Caenorhabditis elegans: one gene and its partner. The protein of the gene in region 1 interacts with the protein of each later gene in a pairwise test. Each region holds a gene or a part of one and is shown on either strand. Other genes may lie near its edges.

What was found.
Region 2: the proteins of sld-5 (region 1) and psf-2 interact in a two-hybrid assay, tested with the Caenorhabditis elegans proteins (one large-scale study listed by BioGRID).

The regions. Positions count from the first base shown.
Region 1 is NC_003283.11:20,230,922-20,245,230, reverse strand, and holds sld-5 (DNA replication complex GINS protein SLD5), read left to right. Parts: upstream 1-7,485; 5' UTR 7,486-7,504; coding exon 7,505-7,791; intron 7,792-8,778; coding exon 8,779-8,939; intron 8,940-9,730; coding exon 9,731-9,957; 3' UTR 9,958-10,426; downstream 10,427-14,309. Other genes in the region: swsn-1 (SWI/SNF complex subunit SMARCC2), read left to right, coding at 573-993, 3,006-3,971, 5,215-5,372; Y113G7B.15 (Pept_C1 domain-containing protein), read left to right, coding at 11,388-11,675, 13,239-13,413.
Region 2 is NC_003279.8:15,045,508-15,055,802, forward strand, and holds psf-2 (putative DNA replication complex GINS protein PSF2), read left to right. Parts: upstream 1-7,502; 5' UTR 7,503-7,517; coding exon 7,518-7,931; intron 7,932-7,982; coding exon 7,983-8,111; 3' UTR 8,112-8,165; downstream 8,166-10,295. Other genes in the region: bltp-2 (FMP27/BLTP2/Hobbit GFWDK motif-containing RBG unit domain-containing protein), read right to left, coding at 1-78, 166-620, 1,032-1,502, 1,584-2,239, 2,582-3,043, 3,470-4,915, 5,126-5,172; zipt-1 (Zrt (ZRT), Irt- (IRT-) like Protein Transporter), read right to left, coding at 5,639-6,007, 6,107-6,438, 6,581-6,689, 6,767-6,913. UniProt on the Caenorhabditis elegans protein: Required for correct functioning of the GINS complex, a complex that plays an essential role in the initiation of DNA replication, and progression of DNA replication forks.

The DNA of each region.
Region 1 (14,309 bases):
GAAATTGTTTTAGCATCTGCAAAAAATATTTATTTATCAGTTTTATTAAGAAAAAACGAAAAAATCGATGAAAAACGAAAGAAAACAGGCGGAAAACAAAGCAAGATAAATGGCCGCTGAAACTTGTCGGCTCCTCGGCCATGGCCTAGAAACCACTTTTCCTCGTCCCTCGTGAGGAAAAAGTTGCAGTGTCGAAATCCGATCGTTGCCTTTTCCCTTTTTTCAGCTCAAAAATTCTGTAAAATTTATATTTTTCCAGCTTTTTGTTCAATTTTCATCGAAAATCGTCAAATTTACCATTTTTCAATCAATTTTTACTGAAAAATCCAAAAAAATTGCTCATTTTAAAACAATTTTCAGCCACAAAAAATTCGATTTTTCAACTCAAAAAACCCCGAAAAATCCATATTTTTCCAGCTTTTTGTTCAATTTTCATAAAAATATTTTTAAAAAATTAAAAAAAATCAAAGCTGTTTTTTTCTGTAAAAATTGCTCATTTTAAAACAACAATTTTCAGCCAAAAAATCCGATTTTTCAACTCAAAAAACCCCGAAAAATCCATATTTTTTCAGGTTTGCGACCACGTCGGCACTCGAACTCAACACGAATGTGTTCTAAAATTCCTTCAACTCCCAATTCAAGACCCATATCTAACTGAAAATCTGTCGTCGGATAAAGCTGAAGCAGCTCCCGGCGGAGCAGCCAAAGAAGTACTCGGACCACTTGCATTCCAGCCTGTTCCATTTTCTCAATCTGGAAATCCAGTAATGTCAACTGTGGCTTTTCTGGCATCAGTTGTGGATCCACAAGTGGCCGCTGCAGCTACAAAAGCTGCAATGGAAGAATTTGGAAAATTGAAAGAAGAAATTCCGCCGCTTGTAGCTGAAGCTCATGAGAAAAATGTTGCGGCAATGGCCGAAAAGACTGGGCAAGTTGATGGAGCTGTTGGGCTTACGAAAAGTGGCCTAAAGCCTGCTGAAGAGGCCGCCGGAGGTAAAAATTCGGGCCCGAAAAAAAAAAAGAAAAATTCAGTAAAAAACCTAGAAATTTGAAAAGTAAAAAAATCGCGCTGAAAACTAATAAAAATGAGCCCGAAATTTGAAAAAATTGGAAAAAATAACAAAAATTTCTGGAAGAAAGCCTGAAAATCGACAAAAAACGGATTTTTCTGATTTAAATTTGAAAATTGGTCATTTTTAGCTCAAAAATCGCTGAAAACTGGCAAAAATGAACCGGAAATTTGAAAATTTTGAAAAAACACTGAAAATCTACAAAAAACGACGGATTTTTCTGATTTAAATTCGGACATTTTTCGTCAATTAATGCTGAAAAAATGATCACCTTTAGACCATTTTTTCGAGAAAAAAAAGAAGTTTTTTTTTATTGAAAAATACTGAAAATGGCAAATTTTGATCATTTTTCATCGAAAATCGCTGAAAATTGGTGAAAATGAGCCCAAAATTTCAGAAAATTTGCACAATTTGATGGAAAAAACTTGAAATTCGACTGAAAAAAAGATTTTTTTGAATTTCGATTTTTTTTTTCGAAAAATTCAAAAAAATCGGTCATTTTTAACATAAAAATTGCTAAAAACTGGTAAAAAAAGAGCCTAAATTGCAAATTTTGATCATTTTTCATCGAAAATTGATTAAATTTTTCATTTTTAAGTCGAAAAGTGGCCTAAAGCCTGAAGAGGCCCGGAATTTGAAAAGCTTGGAACACAATTTGATAAAAAACGGAATTTTCTCACACCAAAAAATATCATTTTAAACCAATTTTCGCTTGAAAAACTCTCGAAAATTCGGTCTTTTTTATACTAAAACTTGCTGAAAACGGTAATTTTTTGTAATATATATATAAAATTGAAAATCGAAGGGCTTTCTGGTCATTTTGAACCATTTTTCGTTAAAAATTGATTGAATTTATTATTTTTGAATGATTTTTAAGTCGAAATGTGTGTGTCCAAAGTCCGAAATTTGAATATTTCAGAAAAATTCACCAAATTTGATGCAACAGACACCCTGAAAATCGACAAAAAAAACAGATTTTTCGTGAAAAATATGTAGAAAATTGAAAACAAAAAGGTTTTCTGGTCATTTTGAACCAATTTTCATCAAAAATTCATAGGGTTTTAAGTTTTATCCTAAAAATCGCTAAAAACAGTAATTTTTCGTAAAAAAAACACTGAAAATTATACTTTTAATCCATTTCTTCGAGAAAAATTCGAAAAAAATTTGCTTTTTATGTGAAAAAATCAAATTTCCACGTGGCGGCGGGCGGTCTTCGATTTAAAAAAATTCAAGTTTTGCGAAAAAATTTGTGAATTTCGTCACAAATTCCATTTTTCAAGCCAATTTCACTGTTTTTTTTTCATCAATTTCATAGAAAAATAGGAGAAATTAGGTGAATTTATGCGAAATTTCCGGGTTTTCACACAATTTCCGTACTTTTGATAGCTTCGCAGTGTTGTTGAAGAAGCCGGTGGTGTTAAATTTCAAGAAATTTTAGTTAAAAATTGATTTAAAATTATAAAAAAGTCACTTTTTTTCACAAATTTTCTTATGAAAAAAATGGTAAAAAGTTACCAGAAACTCCAAAAAATTTGGAAAAAAATGAAGTTTTTCAGCCGAAAATCCATTTTTTCGATAATTTTTATTCAAAATCTATAAAAATGGAGATTTTTCGAGTTTTCAGTTCAAAAATTGAATTTTTTTTTTGATGAATTTATAGCTTAAAAATGTATATTTCTTTTCCGAATTTACATTTTCCACTGATGAAAAACCTCAAAAATGGTATAAAAATTTTGAAAAAAAAATTAAAAACATCATTTTGAGCCAATTTTCACCAAAAAATCGGTCATTTATAGCGTTAAAATCGCTGAAAACTGTTAAAAATAACTTTTTTTCACAAATTTTTCATGAAAAATGGTAAAAAACCACCAGAAACTCCAAAAAATTTGGAAAAAATCTGATTTAGAGCGCCAAAAAAACGGTTTTTTTCTGCAGATTCCGATGAAAAAATGGATACCAATACCAACGACGACGTTCCATCAACGACCGAAGCGAAATCAGCCATCGATAAAGGAGTTCAGGCTGCGGCTGCCTCATGCCTAGCCGCCGCCGCCGTAAAAGCCAAGCATCTGGCTCAGATTGAGGAACGCCGTATCAAAAGCCTCGTCGCACAGCTTGTCGAGACTCAAATGAAGAAGCTTGAGATGAAGCTTCGTCATTTTGACGAGCTCGAGCAGATTATGGATAAGGAGCGGGAATCGTTGGAATATCAACGGCATCAGTTGATTCTTGAACGTCAGGCTTTTCATATGGATCAGCTTAAATATCTCGAGAATCGGGCTAAACATGAAGCTCATTCTCGGATGACAAGCTCTGGAGCTCTTCCGGCTGGGCTTCCACCTGGATTTGAGGTTACCGGCCCGCCACAGCCTACTCCTCAGGTGCAGATTAGTGCTCAGGAGGCTGCGATTCCAGAGAAGATGGATACTTCGGAAGCAGCGACTGCTGCTCGGCCACCGTCCACACCACAGGCTCCGCAAGCTCCCCCCGTTCAGGCCGCTCCGGCGCCGGTTCAGGCTCCTCAGGCTCCACAGGCTCCACCACAAGCCTACCAAGGCTATGGAGGGCCTGGAGGGCCCCCTCAACAAGCCTACCGCTACCCACCACAACAAGGCCAACAATACTCACCATACCCACCACCCCAACAACAACAACAACATCAGGCTCAGCAGGCCCAGTCTCAGGCTCACTATGGCCCACCGGGTGGAGGACAAGGCCCACCACCACCACCACAAGGCCAGCAATACTATGGAGGGCCGCCGCCACCGGGCCAGCCGTACGGGCCGCCAGGAGGCTATCCGCCACAGCAGCAGAGGCCACCATATCAGGCTCAACCGTATCCGGGCCCGCCGCCGCCTCAGCAGCAGAGGGGATATGGTTATCCACCACCACCGCAGCCAGGTAGATAGATATTTTAGGCCTGAAAATGCAATTTAGTCCCGGAAAATTCGGCTTTTTCTGCAAAAATCGCAAAAAAATACGATTTTTTTTCAGAAAATCCGAAAAAATTTGAATTTTTTAGTCCTGAAATGCAATTTTGTCCGGAAAAATTCCTGGGAGCATGGATTTTTTTTCTGGGAAAAATCGAAAATTGAGCTTTTTAGTGACGTTTTGGCGAAAATGTTTGCCAATTTCGATGAAAAATGGACGAAAATTGAGAGATTTTCACTAAGAATAGCGCCAAAAAATGGAAAAATTGCAATTTTTCCAGGCATTTTGTAGAAAATCCGAAACCAAAAAACACTGAAAATTTAAATTTTCAATTCAAATTTCCAGTGCAGTCAGTTCCCGAAAAATGGCTAGAAAATTGTCGAAAATTTGAAATTTTATTGAATTTTGGAATTTTTAAGCATTTTTTTTTTCATTGAAATGTTGATTTTTGACCAATTTTCGATAAAATTTGGTTTAGCAGCGCCCAAAAACTTGTAGTTTGTAGTCTAAGCAGCGCCCAAAAACGAAAAATACGAGATTTTTCAGATAAATTATTTGAAAAACTAGAGAAATGCGAATTTTCGCTGAAAAATGGCTAAAAATCGTAAAAACTTAAATAAATTCAGCTAAAAATGATATCAAAAATCAAGCACGATTCGAAATTTTGCAGAAAAATACGCTAAAAATTCGAAAAAACTATTAATTTTGCGAGAAAAATCATCAAATTTCTAGGAAAATGCTATATTCTGCTGAAAAATTGGCAAAAATCGCGAAAATTTGCACGAAAAATCGATTTTTTTTGAAAAGCAGCGCCCATTTTGACGTTTGGCACTTTTTTTCCAAAAAAAAAACGAAAAATTAGAAAATTGGACTAAAAATGCATTAGCAGCGCCAAAAAACTTGTAGTTTGTAGTTTTAGCAGCGCCCAAAATTGAATTAGCAGCGCCCAAAACTTGTAGTTTGTAGTCTAAGCAGCGCCCAAAACTTGTAGTTTGTAGTCTAAGCAGCGCCCAAAATTGAATTAGCAGCGCCCAAAACTTGTAGTTTGTAGTCTAAGCAGCGCCCAAAAACTTGTAGTTTGTAGTTTTAGCAGCGCCCAAAAACTTGTAGTTTGTAGTCTAAGCAGCGCCCAAAAACTTGTAGTTTGTAGTCTAGCAGCGCCCAAAATTGAATTAGCAAACACTAATAAAAGCATAAATTAATCCAAAAAAAGTATTTTCAGGACACCCATACCAGCAGCCATATGGTCAAATGCCACCACCACCACACGGACAATATCAACCACAGCAGCAGCAGGGAGGTCCAATGGGACCACCCGGGGGACATCATGAAGGTGGAGACGGTGGAGATTCACAACAGAAACAGGAATAATTTATGGAAATTTTGAATTTTTTCTGATTTTTTTCTGATTTTTTTTGCGCATTTTTTTGTTAAAATTCTCGGATTTTTTTTTTTGGAAATTTTTTGTGAAAAATCGCTGAATTTTTCTGATTTTTTTGCGAATTTTTTGGTATATTTTGGACATTTTTCAGATTTTTTTTCTCAAAATTTTTAGAAAATTCGCTGATTTTTTCCCAAAATTTATCCGAATTTTCTAAAATTTTCTGGATTTTTTCAAAAATTCCCTATTTTTTCAGATTTTTTGCGAATTTTTGAGCATTTTTTGGAAATTTTGTCCTCAAAATTTTCCATTTTTTCTCGAATTTTTTTTACAAAATTTTTCACTGAATTTTCCCAATTTTAATCCTATTTCCTCCGATCGCATTTTTTAAAATGTTTTACCACCCCCTTATATACATATTTACCCCCATTCTGTTTCCCCCGTAAAAAAACCACCAAAATGATCTTTTTTTCTCTCTCTGAAATATATATATATGTAACACCCCTCCGAACTCCACGCTGCTGGTATCTCCTTTTTTTCATGGTTTTTTTTAACGATTTTAATTTTAATTTATTCGTATCTTGTGCTATTTAACACCCCACCAACACATATTACTCTCTCTCTTTCTTTTTTTCTATTTATATGATGAAAACGCACACTTTTTCGACGAATTTTTGCATTTTTTTTTGTTGAAATTTTGCGGTTTTTTCCAATGATTTTTATATATTTTTTTTAAATCGGGATTTGAGGATTTTCAGATTTTTTTTTTGCTGTAAAAAACTAAAAGAAATTATATTTTTGGATATAAAATTTTAAAATTTGAAATTTAAAAGTGAAAAAAAAATTTCAAAAAAGTTTATTTTTGGTCCGAAAAAAATATATAAAAATATGAATTTTCCAGCAAAAATTATTTTTTCGAAATTTATTCAATTTTGATAGAAAAACTGAGAAAAAATTCCAAAAAATTGATTTTTCTGAAAATTTGGAAAAAATCGTTTTTTTTTTTTGCAAAAAAAAATGGAAAAATCAAATTTTTCGAATAAGTTTGAAATTTCCACTAAAAATATTTTTTTTACGAAAAAAAAACTTATTTGGTTCATAAAAACTTGAAATATATATATATATATAAATGTGAATTTTCCTGAAAAAAATTAATTTTCCACCTAAAAATTATATATTTTTTCAAATATAAAACTAAAAAACTCTATTTTCCAATTAAATTCAATTTTAATCGAAAAACTGGAAAAAAATTTCAAAAAATTGGTTTTTTTCTTTAGAAAAATCAATATTTATCTGAAAAATTGGAAAAAATCATTTTTTGCAAAAAAAAAATCAAATTTTTTGAATAAATATAAAATTTCCACTAAAAAATATTTTTTCCATAAAATACAAAAATTTAAAAAAATTTAATTTTCCAAATTTAAAACTCCGAAAAAATTTCCTTTTTTACAGGAAAAAACCCCGATTTTTATGATAAAACGTTTTTCACCCAAAAATCAATATTAGTCTGAAAAATTGAAAAAAAAAATTCAATTTTTACTGAAAAAAATTAACATTTCTCACTTTCCTTTAAAAATAATTAATTTTCCACAAAAAAAACCAAATTTTTTCAATTTTAGCACTAAAAATATTATTTTTCCAAAAAAAATTTAAAGTTCAAAAAATATATTTCCAGAGTTTCCATTTCCCAAAAAATACTAAATTTTGATAGAAAAACTGAGAAAAAAATTCCAAAAAAATTTGAAAAAATATTTTTTTTTGCCAAAAAACAAGGAGAAATCAAATTTTTCGAATAAATTAAAAATTTCCATTAAAAAACTATTTTTCCCATAAAAACTAAATAAAAATATATATAAATGTGAATTTTCCTGAAAAAAATCAAAATTTTTCAATTTTAGCACAAAAAAAAATTATTTTTCCAAAAAAATAATAAAAAAATTTTTTCAAAAATTAATTTTCACCTAAAAATGATGAATTTCTTCAAAAAAAAACATTTTTCCCAAAAAAATTTTTTTTTTCAATTTTGGCACTAAAAATATTATTTTTCCCAAAAAAAATTTTTTCAACTAAAAAAAAATTTAAATTAAAAAAATATATTTCCCCAGAATTTCCAAAAAAAAAAATGGCCGTCACCGACTCTGCAACAACCTTTTTGGATTTTGACGACGACGAATACGATGAGATGACTACACCGGAAGAAGTGCTCCGAAAAATGACAGCCACGTGGCAAAATGAGCTGTGTGCTCCGTGCCTTCTCCCAACTCAAATGGAACTTGTCGAAATCCTACTTGATCAGATTCAGGGAATGGAGGAAAATATTGGAAAACAAACGGATAAAATGCAGCTGAGAATCTCAGTTCATCGAGTCGAGCTTCAACGCATTGGGTTTATTACGTCGGATTATGTTAGGTGTGCGGCGGGAAAATGAGCCCCGAAAATGGAGAAAAGTAGCGAAAAACCACGAAAAATACGAAATTTCACGAAAAATAGTGAAAAAACGGAGAAAAATGGGAATTTTCGCTGAAAATTAGTTTAAAAACCGTCCAAAATGGAGAAAATCATGAAATACTGGAAATTTTCACTGAAAATTAATTAAAAAACGGAGAAAAATGGGAATTTTCACGGAAAATTAGTTAAAAAAACGGAGAAAAACGCGAATTCTCACGGAAAAATGGTCGAAAACCACGAAAAATGCAAAAATTCACTGAAAATTGATTAAAAATCGGCGAAAAATGCGATTTTTTGCAGAAAATTGATAAAAAATCACGAAAAATGCATTTTTTCGCTGAAAATTGATTAAAAATCGTCTAAATGGAGAAAATCATGAAATATTGCAAATTTTCACTGAAAATTAGTTAAAAATCGAGAAAACTTCACATTTAGAGTGACAATTAGCCGAAAATTCACGAAAAATGCGAATTTTCACGAAAAAATAGTGAAAAATCGGCGAAAAATGCGAATTTTAACTGAAAATTAATCAAAAATCGGCGAAAAATGCGAAATTTTGCTGAGAAAGTATCAAAAAATCGGAAAAACTTGGAAATTCAGCCGAAAATTAATCAAAAATCGAAAAAAAGCTATATTCTGCAGAAAAATTTGCAAAAATTGTCTAAAAATTTGTACAAAAATCGATTTTTTATGGAAAAAAAAATTGAAAAGCAGCGCAAATTTCGACGTTTTGGCGCTTTTTTGCCGAAAAAAAGGGCGAAAAATGAAAAAAATGGACCAAAAATTCATTAGCAGCGCCCAAAACTTGTAGTTTGTAGTGCCTGAAATTCAAAAACACGCTAAAATCCTCAATTTTCATCGAATTTTGCCCATTTTTTCACGAAAATTTCCAAAAAATTCCCAAATTTTCGTAGATTCTCACTAATTTTCTCGAACAATTTTCTGCAGATGCCGCCTCCAAAAAATCGAATCAAATCCACACGACGCAATCGATCAACACAAAAAACGAAAAGAAGAGGGAAAAAGTGATCTACTATCGGAATCTGAGATGAAATTCGCCGAAGAATATGCTCTAGCGGAGTCGAACCTTTTTCAGAAAACTGTCCTGGGTACGGCGGATGGATTTTTGGTTGAAAATTGCGATTTTTTATTGAAAAAATCGTAAAAATTGGCCAATTTTTCACTAGAAGCCTAATTTTTTTCTAATTTGAAAATTTTTTTGAAAATTCATGTATTTTTTTGTTACAATTTTGAAAAAAAAAATGTCAAAAAATTTTTTTTTTGATTTTTTGAATTTTGAAAGTTTTCCTTTCGAAACTTCAAATTTTTCTCTCAAAATTTGAATTTTTTTTGAATTTTTATTTATTTTGACCTAAAAAAAATTTTTTTTTTTGAATTTTCAAAAAAAAACAATTTTTTTGGTAAAATTGACCATAAAAATTCACAAATTTTAAGAAATTTTCAAATTTTAAAATTAATTTCAAAAAAATCGATTTTTTTTGGAATTTTCAAAAAAAAAATTTCCTTGGAAAAATTAAAATTTTGCAATTTGTTTTTTTTGTGGAAAATCAATAAAAATCTTATTTTTTGCATTTCAAAAGTTTCATTTTTAAGTTAAAAAAAAATTAAATTTAAAATTTTCGCTAAAATTTTAGAAAATTACCTCAAAAATTCAGAAAAATTTGCGTAAAAGCTCAGAAAATCTGGAAAATTTCGATTTTTTTTGCAGTTTTTTTTTCTCTCAAAAACTGCAAAATTTCGCTTAATGCCACGTGGCAATTTTTACAATTTTTTTTTCAAAATTTCAAAAAAAAAAAATTTCAAAATTCCCAAAAAAAAACTTTTTTTTTCAAAATTTCAAAAAAAAAAAAATTTCCCAAAAACTCTCAATTTTCTTCAGAATTCATGCCAGCAGCGCTTAAAAAGATGCCAGTTCCACGTGGCGATCATGATGACGTCATGGTTTACGCAAAAGTGACGTCAGATGACGTGGGCAACGTTGCGATTCCGGATTGGCAGGATTTGAATGGAGAAGTGATTTTGGAAATGGAACCGGAATCGTGTCATTTGATTCCGTTCGAATCGGTACATCAATTGGTTGAAGATGGAAATATTCAACTGATGTGAAGAAGAATTTTTTGATAATTTTTTCGGATTTTTTTGGAATTTTCATCATTTTTACCCCTAAAATCGTAAATTTAATCCATTTTTTTGTAATTTTCCCGAATTTTTCATCATTTTTTACCCCTGAAACCCCCTTTTTTTTTTTTTACATATGTCTACTTTAATTTGTCACTTTTTGCCAATTTTCTGTCAAAAAATGAGCATTTTCACTGAAATTTTGCGGTGATTTTTCGCCTGTTTTCTCCTCTTTGAATCTCAATTTTTCACTTTAAAATTATCAAATTTTGCTCAAAAACCTCATTATTCCATTTTTATGTTCCCCCAAAAAACTGGATTTTCACTTCAAAAATCGGGTTTTTTTCTCTTAAATTTTCATTTATTTTAGCTTTTTTAAACATAAAAACGAAGCTTACTCCATGTTTTTTCCTGAAAATAGACAAAAAAATTTGGTTTGATATAAATTTTCGATTTTTGAGCCAAAAAGTGAATAATTTAAAGTTTTTCTGCTCATAACATTGTTCAGCATGACCATAGCGCAAAACTGGTGAAATTTTTGGAACTTTCGTAAAATTTCAGGCTTAAAACACCTAAATTACGCGAATTTTGGAGCAGTTTGAAAACTTGGTCAAGTGGCTCAGGCGGGAAGAGAGAAGGCTATGGTTCGGAGGGTAACAGGTTCGAACCCCCGCTAGGGTCAATATTTTTTATATGTTTGAATTAGTATAGCCTAGTTGGTTTTGAGCAATTGCGAAGGGGAGGAAGGGTTTAAGGGAATTTTTTGAAAAAAATCGATAAAATGTGTTTTCTTTTGGTTTTTTGCCAATTTCTTGAAGTTTTCAGCGATTTTAGCATAAATTTCCAAATTCTGCAGAAAATTTAGACATTTTTTGACACCCATATTAACTTTTCAACTTTTTTTTTCGAATTTTGAGCCAAGAAATTGATCGATTTAAAGTTTTTTACTCATAACTCTGTTCAACATGAACGTAGATCAAAACTAGTTAAATTTCTGGAATTATCGTGAAATTCTGAGCCTAAAACAACTAAATTACGCGAATTTTGGAGCAGTTTGAAAACTGGGTCAAAGTGGCTCAGGCGGGAAGAGGTATGGTTATGTGCGGAGGGTCATAGGTTCGAACCCCCGCTAGGGTCAATATTTTTTTAATGTTTGAATTAGTATAGCTAAGTTGGTTTAGAACAATTGCGAAGGGTTTTGAGGGAATTAAAAAAAAAAAAAAACATTTTTTTTTAAATTTTTAGATTAAAAATTTTTTTTTTTTTGGAGAACTAAACTTTCAGGGCTCAGAGTAACACTGAAACAAGAACAATTTTTTTTCATATTTTATCATTTTATGTTACCTGTTACCTTGAACATGTTGATCGGCGTGATTCCACCTATAAAAACCAGCGAAAACCCCGTAAAAACCTGAAAAATGTTACTTTTCATAATTTCCCCCTTATTCCTACTCTCTCTATGCCAACCTACAGTAACCCAACACTCTCAGGAGGTACTGTCACATTTTAACAATTTCACGATGCACCATAAGAAACACTACCGTACCCCGGCGGAGAAAGACCGCCGGTTGGCTCATTTCGCGAAAAATCATCAGAAAATCCAGGAACTTAATGCGAAAGCAAGGAGAGAAGGACGAAATGTGACTTTTGGGTGGAATAAGTTTGCTGATAAGAATCGACAGGAGTTGAGCGCCAGAAATTCAAAGGTTGGGGAGTTTTTTCAAAAAGCGCACAAAATTCTGCGCAAGATGGTTTTTGATTGGTTGAAAAATATTGATTTTAAACCGAGTTATGGCGTTTTGAAGGTGGTGGCCTAGAAACCGGAAATTTAGAAAATTTAGGTCACCAGTATTAAATAGGTCAAATAGACTCTAAATTTTAGGGAGAGTACATTAGTTTTAGAATCACTGAAAAATATTGATTTTCCGTTGAGTTATGACGGTTTTAAGTTGGTGGCCTAGAAACCCAAAAATCAGAAATTCTAGGCCACCAATATTAAATAGGTCAAATCGATTCCAAATTTTGTGGCAAGTACGTTAGTTTTGGAATCACTGAAAAATATTGATCTTGAGCAAAGTTATGAAGGATTGAAGTTGGTGGCCTAAAAATCCAAAAATCAGAAATTCTAGGCCACCAATTTTAAATAGGCCGAATCTATTCCTAATTTCAAGTCAATCACGGTAGTTTAGGAACCACTGAAAATATTAATTTCGAGCCAAGTTATGAGAGATGGAAGTTGGTGGCCTAGAAACTCAAAAGTTAGAAATTCTAGGCCACCAAATATCAAATAGGTCAAATTGATTTCAAATTTTGAGAAAAGTACGTTAGTTTTGGAGTCACTGAAAAATATTGAGTTTCCGTCGAGTTATGACGGTTTGAGGTTTGTGACCTAGAAACCCAACAGTTAAAAACTCTAGGCCACCAATATTCAGTAGGTCAAATGGACTTCAAATTTTAGGGAGAGTACGATAGTTTTGGAATAGCTGAAAAATATTGATTTTCCGTTGAGTTATGACGGTTTTAAGTTGGTGGCCTAGAAACCCAAAAATCAGAAATTCTAGGCCACCAAATATTAAATAGATCAATTTGATTCCAAATTTTGAGACATATACGTTAGTTTTGGAATCACTGAAAAATATTGATTTTGAGCTGAGTTATGACGTTTTGAAGTTGGTGGCCTAGAAACTCAAATATTAGAAATTCTAGGCCACGAAATATCAAATAGGTCAAATCGATTTCAAATTTTGAGACATATACGTTAGTTTTGGAATCACTGAAAAATATTTATTTTCCGTCGAGTTATGCCGGTTTGAAGTTTGTCGCCTAGAAACCTGAAAAATTCTAGGCCACCAATTTTAAATAAGCCGAATTGATTCCAAAATTCAAGTTGATTAAGTTTGTTTCTGTAAAACTCAAAAATATTGATTTTGAGCCAAGTTACAAGAATTTGAAGCAGGTGGCCTAACTTTTAATTTCTAGGCCACCAACTTCAACCCTCCATAATTCGGCTTTAAATCAATATTTCTGAATTTTACAAAAACCAACTTACGAAATTTGGAATCGATCTGACCTATTTAATTTTTGATGGCCTAGACATCCAAAATTTTGGGTTTCTAGGCCACCAACTTCAAACTTTCATAACTCGGCGGAAAATCAATATTTTTGAAATTTGAAAATTGTATTAGAATGTTCACGGTGCGTTCTTTAAGTTCTAATTATTCTTTTTTTTTAAACGAAAATTAAAAAAAAATAATTTGGAAATTTTCCAGATTCATCCCAAAAACCACACGGATCTTCCAATTTACAAGCCGAGGCATCCACGTGGCAGTCGTAATCATCATAATAAACGCTCAAAACGTCAAAGTGGGGATATTCCGGACTATTTCGACCTCCGTGATATTTATGTCGATGGGAGTCCAGTTGTTGGTCCTGTTAAAGATCAAGGTATGCTTAATTTGAAAAAGCTTAAAATTTGAGTAAACACAGATTTTGATTGGCGAAAAAATATTGATTTTCCGCCGAGTTATGAGGGTTTGAAGTTGGTGGCCTAGAAATGCAGAAATTTTTGGATTTCTAGGCCATCAAAATCAAGTAGGTCAAATTTATTGCAATTTTTTAGACAAATAAATTGGTTTTTGCAAAATTTTATTATGTAGATTTTCCGCCAAGTTATGAATGTTAGAAGTTGGTGGCCTAGAAAAATCATGCTCAGGTTTTCTAGGCCACCAATTATTCGAAAACAATAATAACTTAGACTCAATGTTTTTACAATTTCAGGTTTGAAAACTATAATTTCTAAGCAAAGTTATAGTCGTGGAAGAGTTTTTAAACTTTCTAGGCCACCAACTTGAAACCGTCATAACTCGGCGGAAAATTGATATTTTCGGGTTTTGTTAAAAGCATGTATCTTTCCATAAAGTTTACTATCAAATTAACTTAGTTAATTTTTAATGGCCTAGAAAAACACCAAATTGGATTTCTAGGACCCAACTTCAATCCCATATAACTCGGCGGAAAATTGATATTTTCGAGATCCGTAAAAATAATTTTGTTCACCATGAAATTTACGTTCAATATGACCTACTTAAATTTTGATGGCCTAGAAAACAATCATTTGGATTTCTAGGCCACCAACTTCAAACTCTCATAACTCGCTTCAAAATCGACGTATTTGGAGTTTGTAAAAGCCAATCGGTTTGTAATTTAATTGTTAACTTGAAAAACTCCCCCAAATACCGGTGGCCTCATCTGAAATTCTAGGCCACCAACTTCAAACCTTCATAACTCCCTTCAAAATATTTATTTTTTGGTGTTTCAAAAACTATTTCCATTTTAAATTT
Region 2 (10,295 bases), on another chromosome or scaffold:
ACCCGGGGAGACATCGAAATTGAGAGTCACGTTGACACAAGATGATCGGAATTGGCGGTACGAGTCGTGTTCTTCGGTCTGGAAAATGTGAATTGTTTTAAATATAGTCGTATTTCTGCATTTAATAACAAACAGAACAATCAATCACAAATAACTTCAATTTACCGAAGAATAATGCGGTAATCGCTGTGGGGAGCATAGTTGAACTCCGTGATGCTCATGAGGATCTCCACCACATTCCCATCCTAACAGAATTTTGAGTCGAACATCAGGAAGAGAGAGAATCTGTGAATCGTCATATCTTGACGCTGTTCTCAAGAATATTTTGAGCCCCGATTTGATTCGAATCTCTCCAAGTGCCCAATCTAACCCGAAATCTTCCCATAACATTTCAACAGTCTCAGTTTCATTATAGGGATCCGTTGAAGCCAACATCGTCGTCACCAGCTTCTCACTCGACCATAATAGTTTTCCGTGTAATAGAAAACGCATTTTATCCCAAAATGGAAGAGGCTGTGATGGGTCTTTTGATGGTGCCGAGATGTTATTCCAAACAAGGGAAATCATTGAGAGGCACGGTTCCCAGCAGGGGCCGTAGGTGCAGTTGTATTCGGTACTTGCTGAAAAATTTTGATGTACTTATGTATTTCTACATTAAAAAAATGAACTAAATTTGGTACTTGCGTATTATACCCCTTCATTTCATAAATTAATTTAACTATAGAACGTAATTTTTAAAGTCTAAAGTAATCCTATCGTACTCCTACAGTACTACTACAACCAACCCCATCCCCCCATCAACACAAAACCTGAATCCTTTCATAAGACGAAAAGTCGATTTTTTTTTTCCAAAACTACAGTTCTGTTGATTTTGATTTGAAAAATCTTAAATTTTCGTTTTTGATTTTAAAAAAGTCGAAAATTAGAATGTCTAATTTTTTAAACCGGAAAATCTGATTTAAAAAATCGAATTTTTCTTGTAAATCATGAATTTTTGGCAAATTTTGTACTTTGTAGCCTCCACCACTTACCACATTGAAGATCATAATAAAACTTGATAGGAGACATGTTCTTCCATACAGAATGAGTTGGAAACGGTTCTGGAAGAGGAATCACACACTCTCGAAGTGACCGCCCGTCTTCGGACAGGCTTTCTGCGGCAACTAGAGTTCCAAAGAAGTGAAGATCCTTAATATCCAAATATTTCATTGGATAATCCTTAAAAGTGACTGTCCATTCATCAACATCAAATTCAACAGCACGAGCCCATAAAGTGGAATAATTTTGCTCGGGAATCGGGCTCAACGGGTCAAAAGCCTTCATCATTTGAATACACTTTTCAGTTCCATGTAGTGTTACATCAGCAAATGCTCTCATATTCCAACCCTTCCATTTTGATAGAAATAGAGGAGAATCACTGACTTCCGTCATTTTCCATCGTTCAATGTAGATCTCACTGTTCTTCTCGATAAGGCTATTTTTGATTGCTTCGATCATTTCTTCTGTAAAAGATCGAGGTTTATACATTTAATGTCTTAAACTAATTGTTTTTTCAAAAAATAAATTTCAGATTTTTCACATACTCGACAAAAACGGCGCCGTCTTCTTCAAATTAAAAAGTCTCTCCTCCAACAATTGCTCTCTTCGTTCAGACTCATATACTTCATCCTCTTTTAGTTGTGCACTAAGCTTCAATCGATTCTCAAATTCATCATCCTCTAGTTCTAACCAAACTTCTAGAAATTCAATCCGAACATCACTTGGCAGTGGAGATGCTTCTGTGAACTCCTTTTTCTTCACTTCATGAACAACCTTGATCCATTTGATTATTTGAAGAAACTCATCGAAAATTTGCGCGAAATCAAAATTGAACGGCAATCGGAACATGAATTTATCGGCCGACCAAATCCAAACTTTATTCGTGGCCGATGACAACGTAGCAAATGCAGATCGTGATTGCGTCATCAGATCATCGGAATTTTGAACCGTGATCGTTGGATTTAATACACTTATGATCCTTTGCTCATTGAGCATAACATAAAGAATCTCCGTATTCATTCTCATTTGATTATCAAGCCGTTCCAAACGAAATTTCTCTCCCTGCCAGAACATTCGATTATTTCTTGCCAGCTCCAGTTGAACTTCGACGAAATTTTCGGCGGTCAGAATTATGTGCTTTTTTCGAGGCACTTTTCGTGTTAAAGTTGACGGATTCGGAAATGATAGGAGTTGAACGGTTCTGCAAAAAAGGAATTTTATTGAATATTAAAATGTCAAATTAAAAAACTAATTTATACTGTTTTACCTTAAATTTAGAAAATTATGTTTACCAAGAGGATTTTGTTGTTTTTTCTTGAAAGGTAAAAAAAATTCAGAATTTTTAAAAATCATGTCAATTTTTCATAAAATCTATCTGGCAAAAAATTTTGGCGGGAAATTCAAATTTTCTGAGCAAAAGAAGTGTTTTAAATTTAAATTTGCTGACTAGCCTCTGGCATTCGGTAGTTTTTTTCAATTAAGTTTTAATTTTCAAAAAACCGCTAAAAATGATTTTCTCCCATATTCCTGATAAAACTCTCACTTTTTGACAGACTTATAAGCGTCAAAAACAATGAGATGAAGCTGTGGAGACCACGCCAAGAAGACCTCGCTCGATGTGAAAACTGATATTTTATCGATAACCGATGATTGTTTATCAATGAGAAACTCCAAAGTGTTCACCGTAATGAACTGTTTGAATTTGAATTCAAATTGATTAGCTCGTTTCTCTCGTTCCTCTTTATATACTCGTTCTCTCTCCAAATGGCTCCATCTCCGAGTTGGTGAACTGTGAATTTCGGCTGCTTCTTCAACTACTCGCTGCGATTCGAAAATATCCGCGAGAAGAACATGATCTTCAGTATCTTCTCGAATTCCGGTCGCGCCACGCATCATCTCCATTTTGAGAAGGCCATCTTTTTGCCAGTTATCGGTAATAAATTCGAGTTTGGAAGCACATAGTGCCGCGTAGGATTTGTTCGTGGCGTTCACTAGTACGGCTAGTCTGTAATTACTTTCTTTGTTATTGAAAAAAGTCTCCCTCCAACTTTAAAGATCGGGTAAATATTTTGAAATGGCTTCAATTTGGCTCCTGATCAAAGGTGTAAAATCGAAATTGTTTTGTTTTTTCGATTTTTCAAAATTTGCTAATAATTTTGGCCATTATATAATAATTCTTCTTCTTTTTAGAAAAAAATTTTATATTTTTTCTCATCAATATAAACAAAATTAGATTTTTAAAAATCATATTTTATGGTTAATTTTCTGAACATGAACATTTTTTTTTGATTTTCCAGAAAATCGAAAAATCGAAAATTTTTTGATTTTTTGATTTTCACTCAAAAACACCGAAAAATCCACGGCGCGCTCCGAAGAGAATGTCTTTCGCGGTATTTTGAAAATATTCTTGGGCCAGGATTTTTTTCTTTACCTATTAGCCGACACTTGAACCGCAAGGCACAAATTCCCAGCTTCTTCCCCATTAGCAGAATGCTCGGCTCCAAGAATTCCATGAATAACCCCTTCAATTTGTCGAGCCAATTGATCGGACCATTCGAACTTCACATCATCACATCCCACAGTAATATCTAACAAATTCTTCTTCGAAAGTTTCTTCCATTGCGCTATAAATGCTCCAATAAATAGAGTTTCCCCCCATTCATGGTATTCGAATTGTTGTAGGGATTCAGGATCGTCTTGTGATCCGAAGAAAAGCATCTCGATTCCAAGTTCAAATTGAGTAGACGTTTCATTCGACTTTTCAAACGTGAGAAAGCCTAGCTTAAACCACGATCGGTGGGATTCAAAGTCGACAATTTCGGCCGACAAATCACAGAATTCAAGAAAGATTTGATAATCTGATCCTCTCGATCCTCCTGAAGATCCTTGATGTCCACTGATTCTTTGGAGCTCTTTAAGACTCTTATTCCACCACTGAACATCATGGAACGCTAGTTTAGCATGAACTCCTTCCACAGAGCAGTGAAGCGTCTTCACAGCCGTCTCAAACTTTATCATGGTAAGTTTAAGCTCACTTCTGAGCAGCTGATCTGCGATGTTCAGCTCGGAAATCACTAGTATGCTGGTTTCCAGGTTTCTAGTAAATTGGATTTGCTTTATACCAGCCGTGATGTAGCGGTTATTCGTGGTATATTTGATGGAGAACGAGTGGATGACCACGGTCATTTGGAGTAGTTTCAGGGGAGTTTTGAGTTCTGCAGAGCCACTTCTTTCCGTGTATCCAGTCCAACTGCTAAAAACTTCAAAAAAGTCATCACTGAACGCGATCGCCGGTGACGAAATCCTCAAGGCCACGTTATCCACAACATCCTTATCGATATCTAAAGAGAGTTGAAACGGCATTGACAGCTCCGCGAGCAAGCTCCCACTGTTCCTTCCTCGTCTCAAAAGCTTCGCCTGTATTAGTGAGCAAGACGTCTCGAATTGCCATCCTTCTCTGCTCCGGAACGTTTCAAGCGACAACTCGTCGATTGTCACGTGCAACAGGCAATCCGGTATCGTATTCATTACTACAATATGTACACGATTCACCACAAGACCACAGTACTGAGCGATTCGAGTGAATCGAGACGTCCAGATGTTTAATTTGATCATTTTCGACGGATCTTCCACCTCTTCCACTTTTCCATACCACTGTACATTCTTCTCGGCCTCGATCCTCACATCATCGAACCGCAAAACACAAAAGCGTGTCGGATGAGCTCGATCCCTCGACAACGAGATTACGTCAATGTGAATGGAGAGCCACGAGATTTTGATGGTGACGTCACGCAACTGAACGAATCCCACACCTCCGATGCGAACATGAGATTTTGTAACGAATGAGAAGATCCACGATAGAATCACATCGATGTAGCTGGAAGTTTGTTATTTTAAACTAATGTTGCAGCCATAAATTTCTTTTTTTTAGATTCTCAAAAAAATTTACAGATTTCTTTTTTCCTTTTACTTTTCAAGAGAAATGAACTTTTTTTCATAGTTTTCTTTTGAAAACACAAAAAAAAAATCTGAAATGTACGTTTTTTTTAAAGTTCAAAACCCAAAAACTTGTAGCCTAGAAATTTACCTCAGAAAAATGAGAAAAACTGTCAGAAGGGAGAGAAGGACTATCATAGTGCGTCCGGCTGCATCTGTCTGAAATATCAGTTACTTTGAGAAAATTTTAAAAGAAAAAGGCATCACAACAACGAGAGCGTCTAGTGCTTAAAATAAAATTTGGAAAAAACGGCTAAAAGTTAAAGATAATAGTTATTCAATTTTTGAAATTAGAAAAACATGAGCTCTGTGAGTCTTAGGATTGTGGGTTTGGTACAACAAATGGGAGCTTTAAAGCCGTCGGGAATGTCAAATATTAAGTAATGGAATTGGGAAAATGAATGAAATACACAGGTCTATGGCGAGCTGGAACCCGGGATGAGAAAGTACAAGAAAATGTGTGATAGCGAAAAGATGGGACACAGAATGTACACAAAAATCGAGTAAAATTGCACAGAATTAGGAAAAAAAAACTAAAGCAGAGAAAATGCTACAAAATGTCAAAAATTAATCGAATTCCTGGAGAAAAAGAAATACAAATGTCCTAAGAAGCTTCGGGGAAAATCAAGATAAAAGCGACAACGATTGCAAATCCCATATAAATGAAGAACATCTTGAGAATTCGATATTTTCCATTATGCAATTCATGTGGAATCACTTCAAAAGTAGTAATATACAAGAATGTTCCACAGGCAATTGCTTGTAGAATTGATGAGACAATTGCAGCAAATGATTGTTCTCCTCCACTGATAAATTTCATGATTCCAATTCCAGCTAGACCACCAATCAATACTTGAACACTAAAAAGGAATTGTGCAAGTGCAATCCATGGAGTTGTTAGATTTGCTTGAACTAGACGAACTCCAAGGCAGAAGCCCATTATGCATTTGTGAAGTATTAGCGCTCCGAAGATCTGCAAAATAAATTAAAAAAAAAAAACATTTTTTGTTTTAAATTCTAATTTTAATTTTAAAAATGAAGAAAATAGTAGTTTTAAGGTAGCCGGCAGAACCTGAAGCAACTGAGAAGCATCTGACGTGACAGCTAACGAGAGTCCCTCGAACAGAGCATGAACAGAGAGTGCCAATACTAGCATGGCAACTCCAATACTCGATTGGGCGGCAGCTTCGTCTCCTTCTTCTTGTGATTCACCATCTTCAGATCTTTGATGCTCATGATTATGACTATGAATATGGTATCCAACATGTCCGAATACATTTCGGTCTTTCGCCGCTTTGACAACCTGATCAATTGTGAGAACCAATAGAAATCCGACTGCTACAAATGCCAACGGAACTGGGAACTCCGTTGCAATCTTGGTCTTCTCGAAGGATTCTATTGAGTCTGCAAAATGTTTCAGGTTTTCTACTACATTTTAGCGAGTGTATTGCCAAAATGGGATTTTTGGCGAATATTCTTCAAAATTTGGACTAAAATAGCATTTCTCTGATGTTTTTTTTTTTTTGCAAAATTTTCCACTTCTCACCTGGAAGCAAATCAAGAAGGCAGGCGCCTAGAAAAACTCCACCACCGATGCACGAGATGAACGAGAGAATATGGCTCCGCGCCCATTCTCCTTTTAGAAACGTGGCTATCTGAAAGTTGACGAAATTTTCAAAATGAAATGTGATCACATCACATGCGAACATGACAAAAAAAAGTTTTGGCTCACCATTCCGGCTGCAAACGTGAGCGCGAACAGAACGATGAGCAATACGGCGCGGAGTGCATCCTTCGGTTCTGCCCGTTCTCCATGCTCTTCCCATACGTTTTTTAGAAATAACCGTGCAGTTAAACGAGAAACAATTCGTCCGAACATCTTAAATTTTGGAGTACTCAGCAATTTTCGTAGAAGGTAGCGAGAAAAAGAGAAAAATGGATGGAAAGTTAGAATTTTTGTGTGGTAATATTTTTGAAATATTTGTAAGAAGAATATTTAAATGTTTTTTGAAAAAAATAAATCAGTTTGCCGAGAGAAAATCAATAAATCGCGAGCCTTTTCGAGACATGAACGCTCGATTTGCTCAAACACTTCTCTGGCGCTCTCCACTCTCTCGCACGTGCAATTGTAGCGCGTTTGCTGATAGTTTTGTGAACTAAGAACGCGAGAATATCGGGCGTGGTCTTACTAATATTTTATAGAATGTTTGATTTTATCTGCCGAAATTTGTAACTATTAACGTTTTCTAATTGAAAAAATTCAAAATTTTTCAAGTATCCATTTTTATAGCGTTTTTTTTTGTGTATTTTTAAGATTTTATTTCACAAATCTGAGTTCTATGGAATACTTTCCCATCAGAAGTGTAAGGCCTCAATATCGGAGGGGTTTTAGAAATTTTTAAAATAAGTTATTCTTCTCAATTTATATTTTCTTTTCTTAATTTATATTTTCAATTGAAAAACTATTATTTTCAGATCAAAAAATGAATGCAGAACGTTGCGAGTTCATCGCCGGAAACTCGCTTATTGAAGTGATCCCCTCAATTTCCGATGACCGGCCGATTCACCTGATTTCCGGCGATATTGGTCCATTTGAGGCAGGCGTACCCTGTCGGATTCCAGTTTGGACAGCGATTTTGATGAAACGAAAACACAATTGCAAGGTGGTGGCTCCTCAATGGATGGATGTAGATGAGCTGAAGAAGATATTGACGTCAGAGACTGAAAGCCAAGGATTGGCGAAATTACCGGATCATTTCTTTGAAATCTCGCATATGCTTGTTCGAGATGCCCGTGAGGATATATTCGAAGTTGAAGCTGTCAAATCATTGGTTCAGGACATTTATGATCGGAGGGACGCAAAACTTCGAAGCTCAGCGATCGAATTCTTGAGACAGGTTGGCAAAAATTATTGAAAATATTTCTAATCCAATTCTTAACAATTCCAGAACCAAACCTGCCACGCTCAATTGGACAACGTTCAGCTGATTGAAGCATCGTCCGCTCGTGCCACTTTGGAGGCCTGTCGTCAGATGGGAGCTGTCGTCCGTAATAAACACGAATCAACACCTTTATAGTGTTTTATTCCTATATATACACTTATTTTTCACAATTAAAACAATTACAATTTCATTGCTGTCTCAAACAGAAAAAAAGTACCCGAATTTAAGACAAATCCTGACAAATTCTCGAAATGAATAACACAGAAAATTTGGAGATCTCAAGGGAAATGGTGTTGATAGATTATTTCTACTAGTTTGTCAGTGGTGCATGCGGTTGGCGTTTTCCTCGACGTGGCAATGACTTGTTGAACGTTCCATCAGATGGAAAAACTGCATATCCTTTTCGCTCACGAGGACTGAAGAAACTTGGAATTAAATTTTGAAAAGCGATGGCGTGGCGAACCTTTTTTTATCGGTGAACGCAGTTGGCGCCTTAATTCGACTTCTAAACGCTTGAGCTACTTCCTCTGGAGAATCCACGTGGGTTGTTGAAGCAACCTTCAGCGGTTTTTTCTTCCGCATCGAGGAGTTCAGCATAATCGGGACATATGAAGGCCGGGGAGCAGATTTTTCAAAAGCTGGAATAAAATTAAATTGTTTAGAAAAAAAAACACTTTGAATAAGCATTGATCTTGGATGTTGTCTTTTATAAAACGTGTGTACAGTGCATTTTTTGGTACTTATGAGTTTCGTTCCCCCCAAAATGATTTCCATATTTTCTAATTGAGACGTGAACTTTTTTTCATTCTCAGGCTTAGGGAAATGATTTTCTAAGCCAAAAAATGAAAACAGTATTAAAATAAACATTCACGTGTGGATTAAAATTAAAAAGGTAGTGTTAAATAATTTAAAATCATTTTGGGGGAACGAAACCCATAAGCACCCTTTTTTTTTCCACTTCTGCGACTCTAAAGGAGGGCGCATTTATTCGAAATGGTCCCGCCACGCGCTTCAAAAATCAAAGAATGATGCGTGCCGAGACCAATTCGGATAAACTCACCCTCCTTTAAAGTCGTGGAAGTGAAGAAACAATATACTGTAATGTTGATGCGACCTAGTGATGGCCTCTCGGCAGCAATCAACGAACATACATTTCACAATATCTGACACTTTACTTTGTGTCATTGTAGAAATCTCCTTTTGCCCCTCTGTCCCAGGAGCAGTCTCCTCGTCTTCCTCGGATTCATCTCTCGATTCTCTCCCGCTATCCACTGATTTCTGCTCACTGCGTGGCGACGACTCGGGCGTCGCTGAACTAGCGATATCCACTGGCCCCTCAACAGCTTCCACGTAATCTATCTCATTTTCGACGTCCTCAATGATAACTGGAAGCGCCGGAATAAAGCGGCGCTGACGTATACGTTCCTTTGCAACATCTACAACTCGTCGCAAGTCGTAAAGGAATTGTATGGCTAGCGGTGACGGATGGGTCATTTGTGCAGAGTCAAAGTATTCTGGAAAATAGTTACGAACGTGGTGCCAGAGAGTTTTCTTTCTGTTCGGTCTTGCAGCAATTTTACGACAGGCAAAACTTCCAAGTGACTTGGCAGTTCAGCGTAGTATTATAGTTTCAGCAAGTTCCAGGTAAGCCCACGCCTTAGCCTTAGCGTCAGCCTGAGCCTACGCCTAAGCCTAAACCTACGCATAAGCCTAGGCTCAGGCCTAAACTTAAGCCTAAGCCTATCCCTAAGCTTGAGATGTACATAGTCTGTTCGTTTAGAATAATAAAACATTTCAAAATGTAACTAACCTGAACTAAAAATAAGTCGCTTGCGATTCAATGATTGTGAATGTGACTGAAGAATTTCTTGCTCTTCGATTTCTTCAAATTCCGTCCCATTTTGCTGAAGAATCTAAAACATCAATCACGGATTTTCTAAAATTCTCAAAATTCTAACTTGATTCTGATGCTTGTACTGTTGCACAAATTGCATTTGAAAGTCACTGATTAGTTTTCGTTTTTTAATACCCCAGCAGATATTCCAGACGACTAACGTGATTATGAGAACAATTACGATTAGAGCCACAATTATCAGAAGAAATGTGGATTCCACTCTCCATCCGGGCTCTTCGGAATCGAATCGCTTATGGTCGAAATGGGAAGAGGTACCTAAAAATTTAATGGTCAAGTAGCAAGTATTTATAGCATTTGTAGATTTGGGAATTTCTAAATGAGTATTAATTTGGAATTTTTTTGACCTGGGTTAAAACATAGTACAACATTTTTACTAATAAAAAACGTTCCAAAAAGCTTTTATT